Linked DNA regions of Caenorhabditis elegans. The protein of the gene in region 1 interacts with the protein of each later gene in a pairwise test. Each region holds a gene or a part of one and is shown in the gene's direction. Other genes may lie near its edges.

Region 1 (4,992 bases):
TGTCGAAAATATTTCCGCTCTAATATATTTCAAAATAGATTTTTTCCATTCTCTTGTTTTCTTAATATTTTTTTGCAAATAATTTATAATTTTTAAGCAATCTCATTATTCAGGGTTACCACAGTAGTCATGACCAAGCTGAAGTGCAAGTCTCTCCGCGGCGAGAAGAAGGATGCCCTTCAAAAGAAACTCGACGAGCAAAAGACCGAGCTTGCCACTCTCCGTGTCTCGAAGGTCACTGGAGGAGCTGCCTCTAAGCTCTCCAAGATTCGCGTTGTCCGCAAGAACATCGCCAGACTCTTGACTGTCATCAACCAGACCCAAAAGCAAGAGCTCCGCAAGTTCTACGCTGACCACAAGGTTCGTTAACCGTGTATTTAAAAAAAATATATAACTTGTGTAATTATTTTCAGTACAAGCCAATTGATCTTCGCCTCAAGAAGACCCGCGCCATCCGCAGAAGACTGACCGCTCACGAGCTTTCCCTCCGATCTGCCAAGCAACAGGCTAAGTCTCGCAATCAAGCCGTCAGAAAGTTCGCAGTCAAGGCTTAAGTGGCTTGTATTCATTGTTATCCATTCATGGACATTGTTCTGGTTCAATTTCAATGAAAATTGTTGCTTATGTTAGTAATTTTGACATTCATACAAATCAAAAAAAGTTCATTGAAAGATTGTATCTAAGTTCACCTGGAAATACACAAAAATATTTAAAGTTCAAACAAGGGGTTAAGGCACCAGAAACACCAATAGTCATTTTTCCTACAACTGAAGAAAATTTTTGTACATTGCTGTCAGCGTTTAAACAATTATTTATCGATTAAGCTGCGTCCGGAGCTGCAATTGGAGTTTCATTGATTTCTTCCGTTGACTCGAAAACGATTGTAGGAATGTGAACGTCGAAAAGAACGCCGTTCTCCCTTTCCATTTTAAAACGACCCCTCAAAAATAGTGATGATTCGTGACAAAATAAACGAAACTTTTTTCTTACCACATGTGTCCGCCTTTCGTATGTTTCAGTTCAAGTGTACTGCTGAATTGGAAAGCCGGAGTTGCTGCGTTCAATTCAGGTTGCTTTCCCACGACACCATGTCCATGCATTTGATTCATATTGTTTAATGAATATACCTTGAGTGTTCTTTCTCTTAAAATCACCCCGTTTTCTGGTTTTTTATTCTCGATCCTGATGACATATCTCCACATATGCTGCTGCTGTCCACCAACCATATTGGCACCAAGATAGAAAGTCATCACAGTTACTTCTATGTTTTCAGTTCTTTCCCGATAGACGTCACGAGGTCCAAGCCATGATCTGTTTGGATTTGTGTATCTTTCAACAAGTTCTGGCTTCATTGCAATATCATAAAGTCCAATGCCATCGTGAGATGCGTTGAAAATGTGGTCGAAGAGATCGTGGTCAAAATTGACACCTCCGGATGGAGTAAATGGGATAATATCTTCATGTGAGACACAGTCCATACCACTGAAAATAATTTTTGAATTGAAGGAGTTTTTATTATGAAAAAATTTCTTTAAAATATACGAAATCATATTTTTATTTTGATTTTTTAGAAAACTGATTTTGTCGCTTTCAAAAAAGGTGTTGGTGTTGAGGATTGTTCCAATCAATAATATTTTTTAATTATCTCATTTACAAAAATCACCGTACTTGATTAGAGTCAACATTTTTTGTCCGTGTCTTTTATTCTCCATTGGTGCATCTACCAAATACGATGTAATATCTACTGGGAATCCCATATGACTCCAGTCATAGCGATGAATGAGAACTTGGTAGAAATCACGCGTAAGAAGATGCTTTTCGCTAAAAAAAAATTTAAAATCAGAATAGCAGAAATTTATTGCTACTTACTTTTGTTGACTTCTTTTTTCATGTAATCTACATGGAAAAGAGCAAACAACGACTCCTTTGTAAGCAAATGTTTTGTGAATGAAAATCTGCAATTTAATATTTTTGCAAAATAACTGGATTGAGTCAACCAACTTGTCCAGCTTCAAATGTTGGTTTATTAGTTGATGGCAAGAGAAGTCCAATTTCTTTCAATATTGGCGTTGTGGCGCTTCTGAATCTTAAAAATGATGATTATCGAGTCTGAAATCATCTATAAATTACCTTGACAGTAAGACTTTCCCAGCGGAAAAGTTTCTTACACTGTGCTGAATAGCACTTCGAAGTTTCATATCTGAAATTGTTGGAATAAACATGAATTTTTTCAGATTTTTTGAGTAACAACGGGAATAAACCACGGAATCATAGATGTCAGGAAATACAAATATAACAACTTTAATTAAATTTATGCAAAAATTCTACACGAAAAATACTGAATATCACCTAGAAAAATGGAATTAAATGAAATTTTAAAAAGAACAAACAAACAGGAATAAATTATTTTCTTGGTTTCATCCCCTTATGAATCGAGCACACTCCAAATGTCAAATTCTCGTATCGAACATTACTAAAGCCTTCTTCTCTAATTATTCTTGCAAACTCGTCTTGATTCGGGAATTTACGAATACTCTCAACCAAATATTGATAACTGGCACGATCACTGGCAAGAATTTCTCCAAGAACCGGGATCACATTGAAGGAGTATGCATCGTAAATTGGTTTCAGTGCAGAATTCACTTCTGAGAACTCCAAAATAGCAAGTTGACCTCCAGGTTTGAGTACACGAAAAGCTTCACGAACAACCTTTTCAGGGTGTGTACAATTTCTGATTCCGAAGGACATTGTGAACAGATCGTAAGTGTTCGACTCAAATGGCATTTGCTCGGCGTTAGCGCATACCCATTCCGCGCGAGATGGTTGGATCTGAAGTAATACATTAAGGATATGGAATTTTTTCAAAAACAATTACATCTCTCTCCTTCTCCGCTCGTTTTTTTCCAACATCGAGCATTGGTTGATTAATATCGGAAACTGTCACTTTTGCGGTAGGCGAATGTCTGAGAATTCTGAAAGCGATATCCCCGGTTCCTCCTGCCATATCCAGACATTTCGCATTATACGGTACTTGCAGGCCACCAACATAATAGTCTTTCCATAATCGGTGAACTCCCATGCTCATTGCATCATTCATCAAATCGTACTTTTTCGCGACGTTTGCGAAGACGTGGTGAACTAAAAAAAGACATATAGTATCAGTAAATTATATAGATGTGTTGGAAAAGGGCTTATTTTATGTAGAGAACTTTGTGATTATTATTTGTGGCTATCAGCTTTTTTACGTTTCTGAATCGAACAGCTAACCTTTCTGCTCCTTCTCTGCCTCATCAACGTCAGTGAATCCAAAATGTGTTTTCTTTCCGGGCTCTGACCGTTTATTATCTGAATTGACTTGATTCACCGAAAACTGCCGGAAATTTCCAACGTTCGTAGGTTTTCTCATGCTTTTAAATAAGTTTGTTGCTCCTTTCATTCTGAAAATAAATGAGTTTTAATTCGGACAAAAGATGAGAAAATTTTGAGAACTTAATTGCGAAGTTGAATGATAAATTAAGTGATAAAAATCACGATACTCTGAAAGTTCTTGCAAGAAATATTCTACCGCATTTTCCCGTGGAGATTCCTAGGCCATCACTCCATAATGAATTTTGAAGAGACGTATTTCTCGTTTTTGTGGTATTTGTACACTAAATACTAGCGTTCGAACTACAATCTTCATTTAAATTTCACTCGAACTTTAACATATGAAAAATAATTGAATTATATTATAGTTCTTGATCACGCCATCACTGGCCTAGGTTCCGTCAAGTGGCCGAGTTTTGTAAGAGACACTTGGCATTTTTCCAGTTTTTCTCTCCTATTGTTTTTCAGTTTTTCAGGTTATTTTGTGCATTTCTGTTATGTCCTTTTCTTTATCAATTTGTTCGACTTTTTAAAAAACAATTTTTCAAACAAACTGGACGATTATTATTGATTTTATGCGAGAGATTTTCAGGAATGTCGGGTGGAACAGCAGCAACAACTGCCGGTTCCAAGGTGACCTTCAAAATCACTCTAACAAGTGATCCGAAGCTCCCATTCAAGGTGTAAGTTTTTATATTTAAATTTTCGGTTTACTTTTGATTTGGAGTTTTGCGTCATGCATTAATTTTTCAGCCTCTCCGTGCCGGAAAGTACCCCATTCACCGCCGTTCTCAAGTTTGCCGCTGAAGAATTCAAGGTCCCTGCGGCTACATCAGCAATCATTACGAACGACGGAGTTGGCGTCAATCCAGCTCAACCTGCCGGAAACATTTTTTTGAAGCACGGAAGTGAACTTCGTCTGATTCCACGTGATCGCGTCGGCCATTGAGCATAAGCCAATTGTTGTCTACATTCCTGTATTATGACATAATTATTTTTACAAAATGTGATGTCTCTGTGCATTTCTATCCTAAACTCGCTAAGTCAGATTTGAATATCTAAATTCTTCTAAATATTAATTTATTGAAATTCCCCTTTCCAAAGTACGCTATGAAGCTTTTTTCTCAAACTTGTTCAATCAATTTATCAATACTGGTTGCTCTTCCGCATTTTATCTTACTTTTTTAAAACTACTTTACTTTTAGTCTTATATTATTTTATTTAAGATGAAGCTCTCCCCAGCTACCAAGTCTTTCATCGGTAAGACAGTCGATATTTCCACATTTGCAATCCAATGGGGATTCGTGCCGTTTGTGGTCTACCTTGGATTTAAGAAAGGCGCTGAGCCAATGCCAAATGGACAGGTAAAAACTAGAAAAAGAAACATTTAGTTTTAAAATCACGTCTCCGAGAGAGCGTAATAAATAAAAAATGCGTCCCATAATACACAAGATTCAAACATTTATATAGATACCGCATTTTCTTTACAAGTTTCTCGTTGTGTAAATAGAACAATTGCATGCGAGACGCTGCCAATTATTTTTTAATTTATTTGTCAAAAGTTTAAGTTTTACCAAAAACACCTATGCTTTCAATTCAAAGATTTAAGAATTCATATTTCAGATC
Region 2 (8,724 bases), on another chromosome or scaffold:
AAGCCATTTTGATAAATGTACGCACTTTTGAAAGACGTCCCACAGAATTGCATAATTGACGTGCTAGAAAAAAGTGCCAAAATATCCATTTTGTGGGCGAAGCCTCTGATACCACAGCTCTTTTTCAATTTTTTTGTACAACATATCAATTTAAAAATGTTTAAAAATAACTTCCGAGATAGACACTTATTCAACAATGGTTAGTAAAAACGAGCATTATTTTTTTCGCATTAAAGAGCTAAGCTACTCTTCATATTATTATGTATTATTTCCCAAGATTCAAGAAATATTTTTGTAACAGTAAATTTTTTTTGTTAAAATATTCTCTGACTTGTTTTGGCCACAGAAAACGCGTCTATAAACCTGATATAAAGCTTTTGTAAACTTTTCTTTTTCAGTTAACTTCCAAAAATTGCAAAATCTAATTATAAATAACTGCCCTTTATGAATAATCTCTGGCGAACCCAATTATTTTCACACAATTCTAACACTCTCTCTTGGTCATTGCACTCCCTCCCTCCCACTTCACAATTTTCAGATTTCCGTCATCTATTCACAACAATTTTCATTTCTTTTCATCTTCTTTTCCGTTTACTCACACCCTTCATTAAAGGACTTGGAGAGTATATATTTCAAGACATTGTAGTCGCGAAATAATTGTTTCCCTACTTGAACTTTTTTATCAAAGTATTGATTTAAAATTAGCATAAATATTTTTGCTGAAACAGTGAAATCTCAAAAATTGTTAACATTTTCGGTTTGGACGAGAAGTGTTGTTTTTTCAATTTGAAAAAGTAGTTTTTGAGAAATTTCTCTAATTTTGACTTTTTTCTAGAAAAAACTAACAATATATAGGTAGGCGCGCCTTCACAGTTCCTGCCTCATGCTTGTTTTTCTGTGAAACCATATTATGGTGTTTGAAGATGTTGAGTAATTTTTTAAAAAAATTTAAAAAATTTAAATTTCAATTAGTTTTTGGACTGTATGCATTCGAATGGTGAGTCTTCTTGGCACATGTTTTTAACAACTTTATGAAACTGCAGAATTTTTTAAATACCATTTTTCTCACAGTGAAAAAAAAAACCGCAACTAAATTCCTGAAATTTTGAATCGCCTCTCAAAATCACAATTTTTGAACTCATTTTACCTGTGTGAACAAGTTTTCAATTTTTTTTAAAAAGCTGATTGCGCCACTCTTAACAGTTTTGTCCACTCTCTCTGTTATTATATTTGTAAGTTTCAGAACAGACGTATAGGCTCTAACTGACCATAAGCTCCAAAAACATAATAAAGTTTGTTTGGGGGGTCAAAATCAGTGGGAACACACTACAATATTCTGTTCCTATCTTCTTTTTCAACGCTCAGCTCTCAATCCGTCCCGATGTCAACAACTTCCCAAATTGCAACAAGAAATTTCCGTCTCTTTCTTCTTTCTGTGTATTTCAAAAAGCCCTCCGTGTATGTCTATCTCTGCCTATTAATTTCCGCGTTTAGCGTTGATACGAGCTCTCGTTTTTCCTTTTTCTTCTTCTTTTTTTGAGTTAAAGTAGGAGAAGCTCTCCGAGTTTTGTTAAAGTTGAAGAGAAAATGAGTAGAATTGAACTGAATTTATACATTCATGTCTGGTTTTTAGATATATATATATACATTTTTATATGTGTGTTTAATATTTAACTTTATCTAGGAAAAATAATTTTTTGTCTGAAAATTATCCCCAATTTCCAAATACTTTTATTTTAAAAGTTACTGTTTCAAGAAACTTTTAAATCATTTTGTAAATAGTTCATAGTACTCGAACTTCCGGATTTTAATGTTAAAAAAGGCGTCCTCGATCACAAATTTACGTGTGGAAAATAAGTTTTAAGAACAACTGTTTCATGTAAATGTGAAAACTTTTGAGTTAAAAAAAATCAAGTTGATGTTAATTGTCCCATTAATTGGAATGTGTTAGAGATGTTGCAGTAATACAATTGCTTATTTTACTCGAATTATCACCTAAAAAAACCATATAAAATACTTTTTCACTCAAAATCCTAGCTGATTCATTTTTGATTTTTTTTTCCATTTTCATCAATTTCTTAAATTATTTAGACCAAATAAATAAAAAACGTTTTATTGAAAAATTCGGGATAGTATTTTCTGAAATACATAATTATTTGAAAAACTATTCCAGAATATTGAACACTTATAATATGCAAAATAAAGTTTAAAAATTGTTGAGTCAAAGTTTTGAAAAATTATAAAATTTTATTGAAACAGTAAAATTATATTTGGAAACCGTATTTTAAAATTATTAGTTATAGTTCACAAAACCAGGAACATGTGAAAATTTCGTGATCATTTAATTTTTCTGGAAATATTTTAGCTAAATTTAATAATTTTTTTTTCGGACTTTTGAACAGCCAAATAGCAGGTTTTGAGAAATTTCTGAGAAATCTCATGAAAACAAGTTTTTTAAAATACATAATTTCGTGTGTTTTAGCAGATATTCCAAATCCTAGAAAAAATACCATATTGAAAATATTGTAATCATTAGAAAATTGTGTGTCCGTTTTTGTATTTGGAGATTTTTGTGGGTGTCCCACTACATTAAAAGTTTTAAAATAATAGTTTGAGCAATACATTTTCCTCGATAATTTTTCTCGTTTGTGTGAGGAGTTTGTATTGATGTATTGATGTATGATGTTTATTTTAATTGATGTTTAGAAAATTAATCGATAAAGGAAATTTGTTTAAAAAAAACTAACTTCCTGAAACAGCAAAATTATTTTTGGAAACCCGTTTTTTAAATTAATTTAGTTTAGGTAACAAACAGGAACGTGAAAATTTTTTGTGTCAATTTAATTTTCTGATTATATGTACTTCTTATTAGACGGAAAAAAAATGCCAGTTTTGGTTTATTTAAGTACCACAAGAAACATATTTGTGTTACACTTTTTCCAACATACATTCAAAAGGAAGTAAAATAATGTTTACTGGATCGGAATTCAATTTAATTTTTCTCATTTCCCGTGCTTCTCTTTTTCTCTCTATTCTTGTCATGCTCTGTGTGTTTTTTTCGAAAAATGTATATATCTTTCACCTGTCTGGATATATTTTTTTCTTTTCAAAAATGAATTTCCGTCTCTCTATTTCCAGGTTCATATATAAATTTCTAATTTTCAGAGAAAATCAGTCAAAATCTTCAATAATCGAAACTTGGGAGTGATAGGATGTTCGCGATTGCTCATAACTCAATCCTTCGGGACTCGCTGGCTGGAATTCTGCAATTGAGTCCGGAAAGAGTTTTTGATGAGTACAGGCCACCACCATTCACAGGTTTGTTATTGAAAATTCCTAAATCATAAAATATTTCGTTAACAATGATTTTCAATTAGAAAAAAGTAAAGAAAAGTTAATTTTTAACATTCACGAAAATGCTTTAAAATTTTAACTGAACCTTTTTTAATAACACCGAAAGACAACTGAACTCTCTATTTGTTTTAAGTTCACTTTTGAAATTTTTTTGAAACAGCTGTTAATATACAGTAAAGTCGTTCAACTCTTTCCCTCAAATGATGCTATTAGAAATTTCAATCTTCTAATGAAAAAATTATAGTTGTATAATTTTAATTCAATTGTAAGCACTCTTAAGATACATCAAAACTTTGATAAATATTTTTTGAAACAGTGAAATTTAAAATAAAATAATTACAGGAAACATCGTGGTTGGAGTTGAAGATCTTCGTGACGCCAACCTCCGTTTTGCAGTCAGATATTTCCTTGCAAATGTATGTTTTCTCTTCAACAGATATTTCAAATTATTTCAATTTCAGGTGGAGAAGAGTATTTCTCTATTCATTGTAAAACAGGAATGGAGTGAAAATGATGAGAAATTCTTTGATGATCTTGTGAAAACTGAATACAGAAGAGCTCATGATCTAAATCAAGTTGCTATTGATCGTGTCAAGTTAGTTGGAATTTATATATATATATAAAGAAGTTGGATTTTTCAAAATCTCTAGAATTGGGAAAAAAAGCGAAGGAAGCGCTTATTGTTTTTCATAAATATATGTTCAAATTATATTTTTTGTGAAACAGATTTTTTTGAAACGATTCGCAGAAGTTTTTTCTTTAAAATGGGGTTTTTTTTCGTAAATGAAAAATATAACCAACTATCGTTAAAAACTTTTGAAACTTTGATATTTTCAGAAAAATATTTTTAAAAGCCATTACAGTAAGCTTCCTGATAACGAATGGAAAAGTGATCGACTGGAACAATTGAATGAATGGAGGACCATTCCAGCCATCAATTATAGTCTTCTCACGCTAAATGATAATCTGAAAGTAAGTTCTAAACTGGTTGAAATATTTAAAAATTTGCAGACATGTATAATGCTGAAAAAATTTCTTGAGGCGGTTAGAACTAATGATCGTATTAATAAATTCATTAAAATAACATGCTGAAACAGTATAAATTTTACAACCAAAAAATATTACAGAATCAAATCGACGCGCTCGCCAAAGTGACACCATGCACGATTTCTGATGACGAAGAACAAATAACAAATAAGCCACCAGTTCTCCATTGGACAGCCGATCCATTGGAAGGAGAAATTCAGTTTATTGCTCAATTAAACTTTCCATTGTCTGGACCAGACGACTCGTCATTCCGAGAGATTTGTCGACTCTTGAAACCACATTTCGAGACATCTTATGAATGGACAGGAGGCATTTTGTTAACAAGTGATCCTGTTCGATTGCATGTTCAAAGATTCAATGATACACAAATTGAACTGGCTGCAAGGATTTGTGTTGATGAGTTGGAAGGTAAGTTCAAGAAATCTACTGGCAAAGTATGCATTCGAGAATACTTGAAAGTATATAAATATTTTGAAACAGTAATTTTTGGACTTCAAGAAGAAGTAGTGGATGTGGGGAGGATGCTTAAAAGTATAAAAGTATAGCACAGATTTAATTTTTTACTGTGGTATTTAAAGAAAAACGGGAAAATTCGTTAACAATGTGAAAAAAAAACATATTAAAAATGCTTTAAAATTTGAATTAGCGAGCAAATTCTTCCCTTTTAGAATGTTCTTTTTGCGTAAACTAGTGTTTTGGGCAGAATTTTGTAAGCTATCAAGTTCATCATAGAAAAAATTAAAATACCGAAATTGTCCTTTCGCTGAAAAAAATCTAAACGGTTTGTAGTTTGAAATCAAGTCTTTTTCGATCTATTTTTCAAATTTTGAGCTGCATTTTCCTCCAGCTTCACCAAATTTTGCTGTTTTCTTTGTCATAAATGCTAGTTTAATGAGGTTCTTTATGCAATTTCGGGACATGTATTGAATTATATGTCGGAAAATTACAGGAATGGCGCCATTAAGAACACTCATTGTTTTATTTTAGCCTTTTTCAAATTTTCAAAAGAAATAATTCGTTTTGAACAAATTTGTCTTCAAAAGTGTGTGTGACGTACATGAAAAATCAACATTAAAATTTAAAAAAATATATATACAAACATTCTGAAACAGTAATTTTGAAAAAAAAAAAATCATTTGTTACAGGAGATGAAGCCGATCGGCCGATTAGATTCATTTGGCCATACCTTGCAGTTTCGCTGAAACAGGCACTTCAAGTACTCGGGGAGCATCCACATCTACAGTACTCGGTAAGTATTCTAAAAATTGCAAGTCGAAAACTGAAAGTATACTAAGAGATGATAAAAATATTTCAAAATAGTTACCTATTAATTAAATGTCCAACTTGAAACATTATATATTTTAATTTCAGATCTCATTTGTCCCATTTGGTTCGATCTTCTTCAAATCATCTGAAATCGAAGCTCGTGTGTTCGATGCAACAGTATTCTGCTCAACTGCTCTGAAATACGATAAAGTTGGATTCCGAGTGGGTGAAGATGTACATCATGTGGATATTGCTCATATATTTCCCGATGGAACATATCCATCACTTTCACGTCTTTTATCAATGAATCCTCCATCACCAAGATTTTCTCGTCCAGAATCTGTTAATGATTCAGTTTCACCTTCATTGATGTCAGAGCCACCGACTCCTGGAGGTTTAGTTGCACCACATAATAGAGGAAGACGAGTTTCTTTTGGTAAGCAAAGAGCGAACTGGGTGTATTTCAAAAAAAAGTTTAACTGAAAATTAATTCAATGTTTCAATATAATGATAAAAAATTAAAATAATAATGTAAAATTGCTGGATAAAGAATCTTTAAACATTATTAAAATTTAATCGCATTATCCTGAAAATGCACTTAAATTTTGAGTAGAGTTTAAAATACACAAAATATTCTGAAATTCAAATTCAGAGAAAACCAATCAGCGATTTTCTCCACCCACTTTTCAACCAGTCATATGAAGTGTACCTGATTGGTTGGAAAGAGGGCTTCTCATTTTGGGAGAAGTTTTAAAATCGAAATTTGCCAAAATTAAAAAAAATTAGACTTTTATTTGTTTTTCGTTTTTTGTGATATTTTGAATTTCAGGCTATTTCGGGTAATTTACAAAACCCCAATTTACAAGAAAACTTGACAATTGCAGAAATTTATGAGGTGTCAAAAACCCAAAAAAAACTGGAACCACAAAAAAAATATTGCGATTTTCGAGGCACTAAACTGTAATTTGGATTATAATACGATACCCGGTCTCGAAACGATCGACACTTTCCAGCTACAGTATCCGCGTATTTTCTTTGCATTTTCTGCTATTTTTTTCTATTTTCAAAAATTTTCCAAAATTTTTGAAAAGTTCAACAAAATATGTATTTTTGCGAAAATATCGGAAAATCCAGCAATTGGGTAATATTATAAATACATTTTTTGTGGCGAGACCCGTTTAAATTGATCCGTGCGCCTTTGAGTATGATTTTCAATAAATTGCGAAATTAATAAATAAATAAAAAACACTGTTTCACTCCTTTCATGAAAAAAACTAAAAATGTGTCAATTCGCTGGCAATACATATTATCTTTTTCAGGAACCATAAAGCTAATGTCTGATGGTCCTACAACTCCAGAAATTCCAATTCTCAATGGAAATTCGAACGATGGATCAGCAAAAACAGTCGACGCATTCATTGACAAAATGCTTCAACAGACGATGGATCAGCTGGCAGTTTGATCGAGATTACTGTAGACATCACATATTTATTTTTCCTTTTTCTTCACAAAAAAATCCCTTAAACACAATCAATTCTCTTTAATTAAAAAAACATGTTTATTCTTTAAATTGTTTATTTTGAATTTAAAAAAATAAAAACCGATTGGCTGAGAACAACAACAACAGAAAAATGAATAAATATGAAAAACAGTGGCAAAAGTAACGACGAACGGAAGGATAGATAACAAAAAAGAGTAAATTAAGACGATGAAGCTGCTTTCGATGCTTTTATTTTCTTCATCTGAAAAAAATATTTTGTTTGTTAGAATGCACGTTTCTTTCAAATCTTACCATATCATTAGCATTTTTAGTTGCCTGTAGCAGTGCCTGATATTGAGAATGATTCATTCTAACTTCAATCGGTGGAGCTTTCACTTTCTCGGCTTCTTCTTCTTTTCCAACAACAACCTTCTCTTCAGAAGCTCCATCCTGCTCTTCTTCTTCTCCATTTCCTGCCAATTTTTCTGCATCACTCAACTTCATCGAACAAACATCTCCATTTCCAGTTCCACGGCATTCCGCTTGAAGGAGAAGGTTCTTCGGGAAACCGGAAATCATTTTGCGTGCTTCGTTATTTGCAACACCCCACAAAAGAGACATATTCATCACGTCGACTGGGGAACGGAGATCAAGCATTGTTTCAGCACCGGATGAGAAGATTATGTTCTTCGATTTTAGGGATCTGATCAGGACTCGGCCGTTGAACAATGTCTGGAATTAGGAAATTTTTGAATTGGAAATTACAGTTTAAATTTTTAAATATTTCAATCTAAGATCTTCCGTTTTGTCATCTTTTTCGTGTCGCAGCTGTCGGAAATCAATTTTTATTGCATATTTTAATCGATTTTCTCGCCTTTTTGTAGTGATTAGGATACATTTTAAGCCGAAAAGTACCTAAAAATGACTTATCGGCTTTAAATATCCTTCGATTAACAAAATATTGAAAAAAAAATGCAATAAAATATGACATTTCAATAAAAATCACATTCCTGGTGCTGCGACACAGATAGGTTGACAAAATTCGGGATTTTGACTAAAATAAGCTCTTTTTTTTCGATCTTTTGAACCGACATATTTGGCCAATCTCACATTTTTCCGTGTGGCAGGCATCAAACTCTCTGCATATGCAATTTCGTAGAAAACTCCATCGTTTCGAATTCGATCCATCACTTTCGACACTGACAACCATTTTCTCTGCAGAGAAACAGGTTTTAGTTTAATTTTTCCATTGAAATTCCACTAAAATACCCTTTCTTCCTCCAAATGATCAATTGTGATAATATCGAAAAGCTCAGTTTTTCGTGAAAGTGTGTCAAGTACTGATGGCTCGCCCGGGCGAACGGCAACGATGTCGTAGGACTGAAATAATTATTTTCTTATGCTGAATAAGAAAAAAAAACTCACCAAAATAGTTGGGTGAATGAAAACTTTATTGATAACTACTTGCTCATTTGCAGTAAATGTAATTCTACTGAATTGACGGAACACTTTTCCACGTTTTTCGAGTTCCGAAGTATTCAATTGACTGACATCCACGTAATGCGGTGGCGGGATCA

The links.
Region 2: the proteins of ufm-1 (region 1) and H35B03.1 interact in a two-hybrid assay, tested with the Caenorhabditis elegans proteins (one large-scale study listed by BioGRID).

Annotation. Positions count from the first base shown.
Region 1 is NC_003281.10:7,855,021-7,860,012, forward strand, and holds ufm-1 (Ubiquitin-fold modifier 1), read left to right. Parts: upstream 1-3,958; 5' UTR 3,959-3,960; coding exon 3,961-4,049; intron 4,050-4,119; coding exon 4,120-4,315; 3' UTR 4,316-4,492; downstream 4,493-4,992. Other genes in the region: rpl-35 (Large ribosomal subunit protein uL29), read left to right, coding at 130-360, 414-554; tag-307 (ApaG domain-containing protein), read right to left, coding at 820-940, 991-1,482, 1,669-1,821, 1,870-1,955, 2,002-2,086, 2,131-2,222; coq-5 (2-methoxy-6-polyprenyl-1,4-benzoquinol methylase, mitochondrial), read right to left, coding at 2,404-2,829, 2,876-3,138, 3,268-3,436; tomm-7 (Mitochondrial import receptor subunit TOM7 homolog), read left to right, coding at 4,593-4,730, 4,990-4,992. UniProt on the Caenorhabditis elegans protein: Ubiquitin-like modifier which can be covalently attached via an isopeptide bond to substrate proteins as a monomer or a lysine-linked polymer.
Region 2 is NC_003282.8:5,722,435-5,731,158, forward strand, and holds H35B03.1 (START domain-containing protein), read left to right. Parts: upstream 1-3,165; 5' UTR 3,166-3,212; coding exon 3,213-3,318; intron 3,319-3,443; exon of another isoform or gene 3,444-3,469; intron 3,470-3,696; coding exon 3,697-3,770; intron 3,771-3,815; coding exon 3,816-3,949; intron 3,950-4,217; coding exon 4,218-4,326; intron 4,327-4,384; exon of another isoform or gene 4,385-4,405; intron 4,406-4,481; coding exon 4,482-4,809; intron 4,810-4,814; exon of another isoform or gene 4,815-4,835; intron 4,836-5,335; exon of another isoform or gene 5,336-5,485; intron 5,486-5,546; coding exon 5,547-5,650; intron 5,651-5,772; coding exon 5,773-6,103; intron 6,104-6,208; exon of another isoform or gene 6,209-6,229; intron 6,230-6,961; exon of another isoform or gene 6,962-6,982; intron 6,983-6,986; coding exon 6,987-7,129; 3' UTR 7,130-7,280; downstream 7,281-8,724. Other genes in the region: H35B03.2 (Ribonuclease P protein subunit p30), read right to left, coding at 7,368-7,409, 7,460-7,879, 8,258-8,362, 8,417-8,527, 8,573-8,724.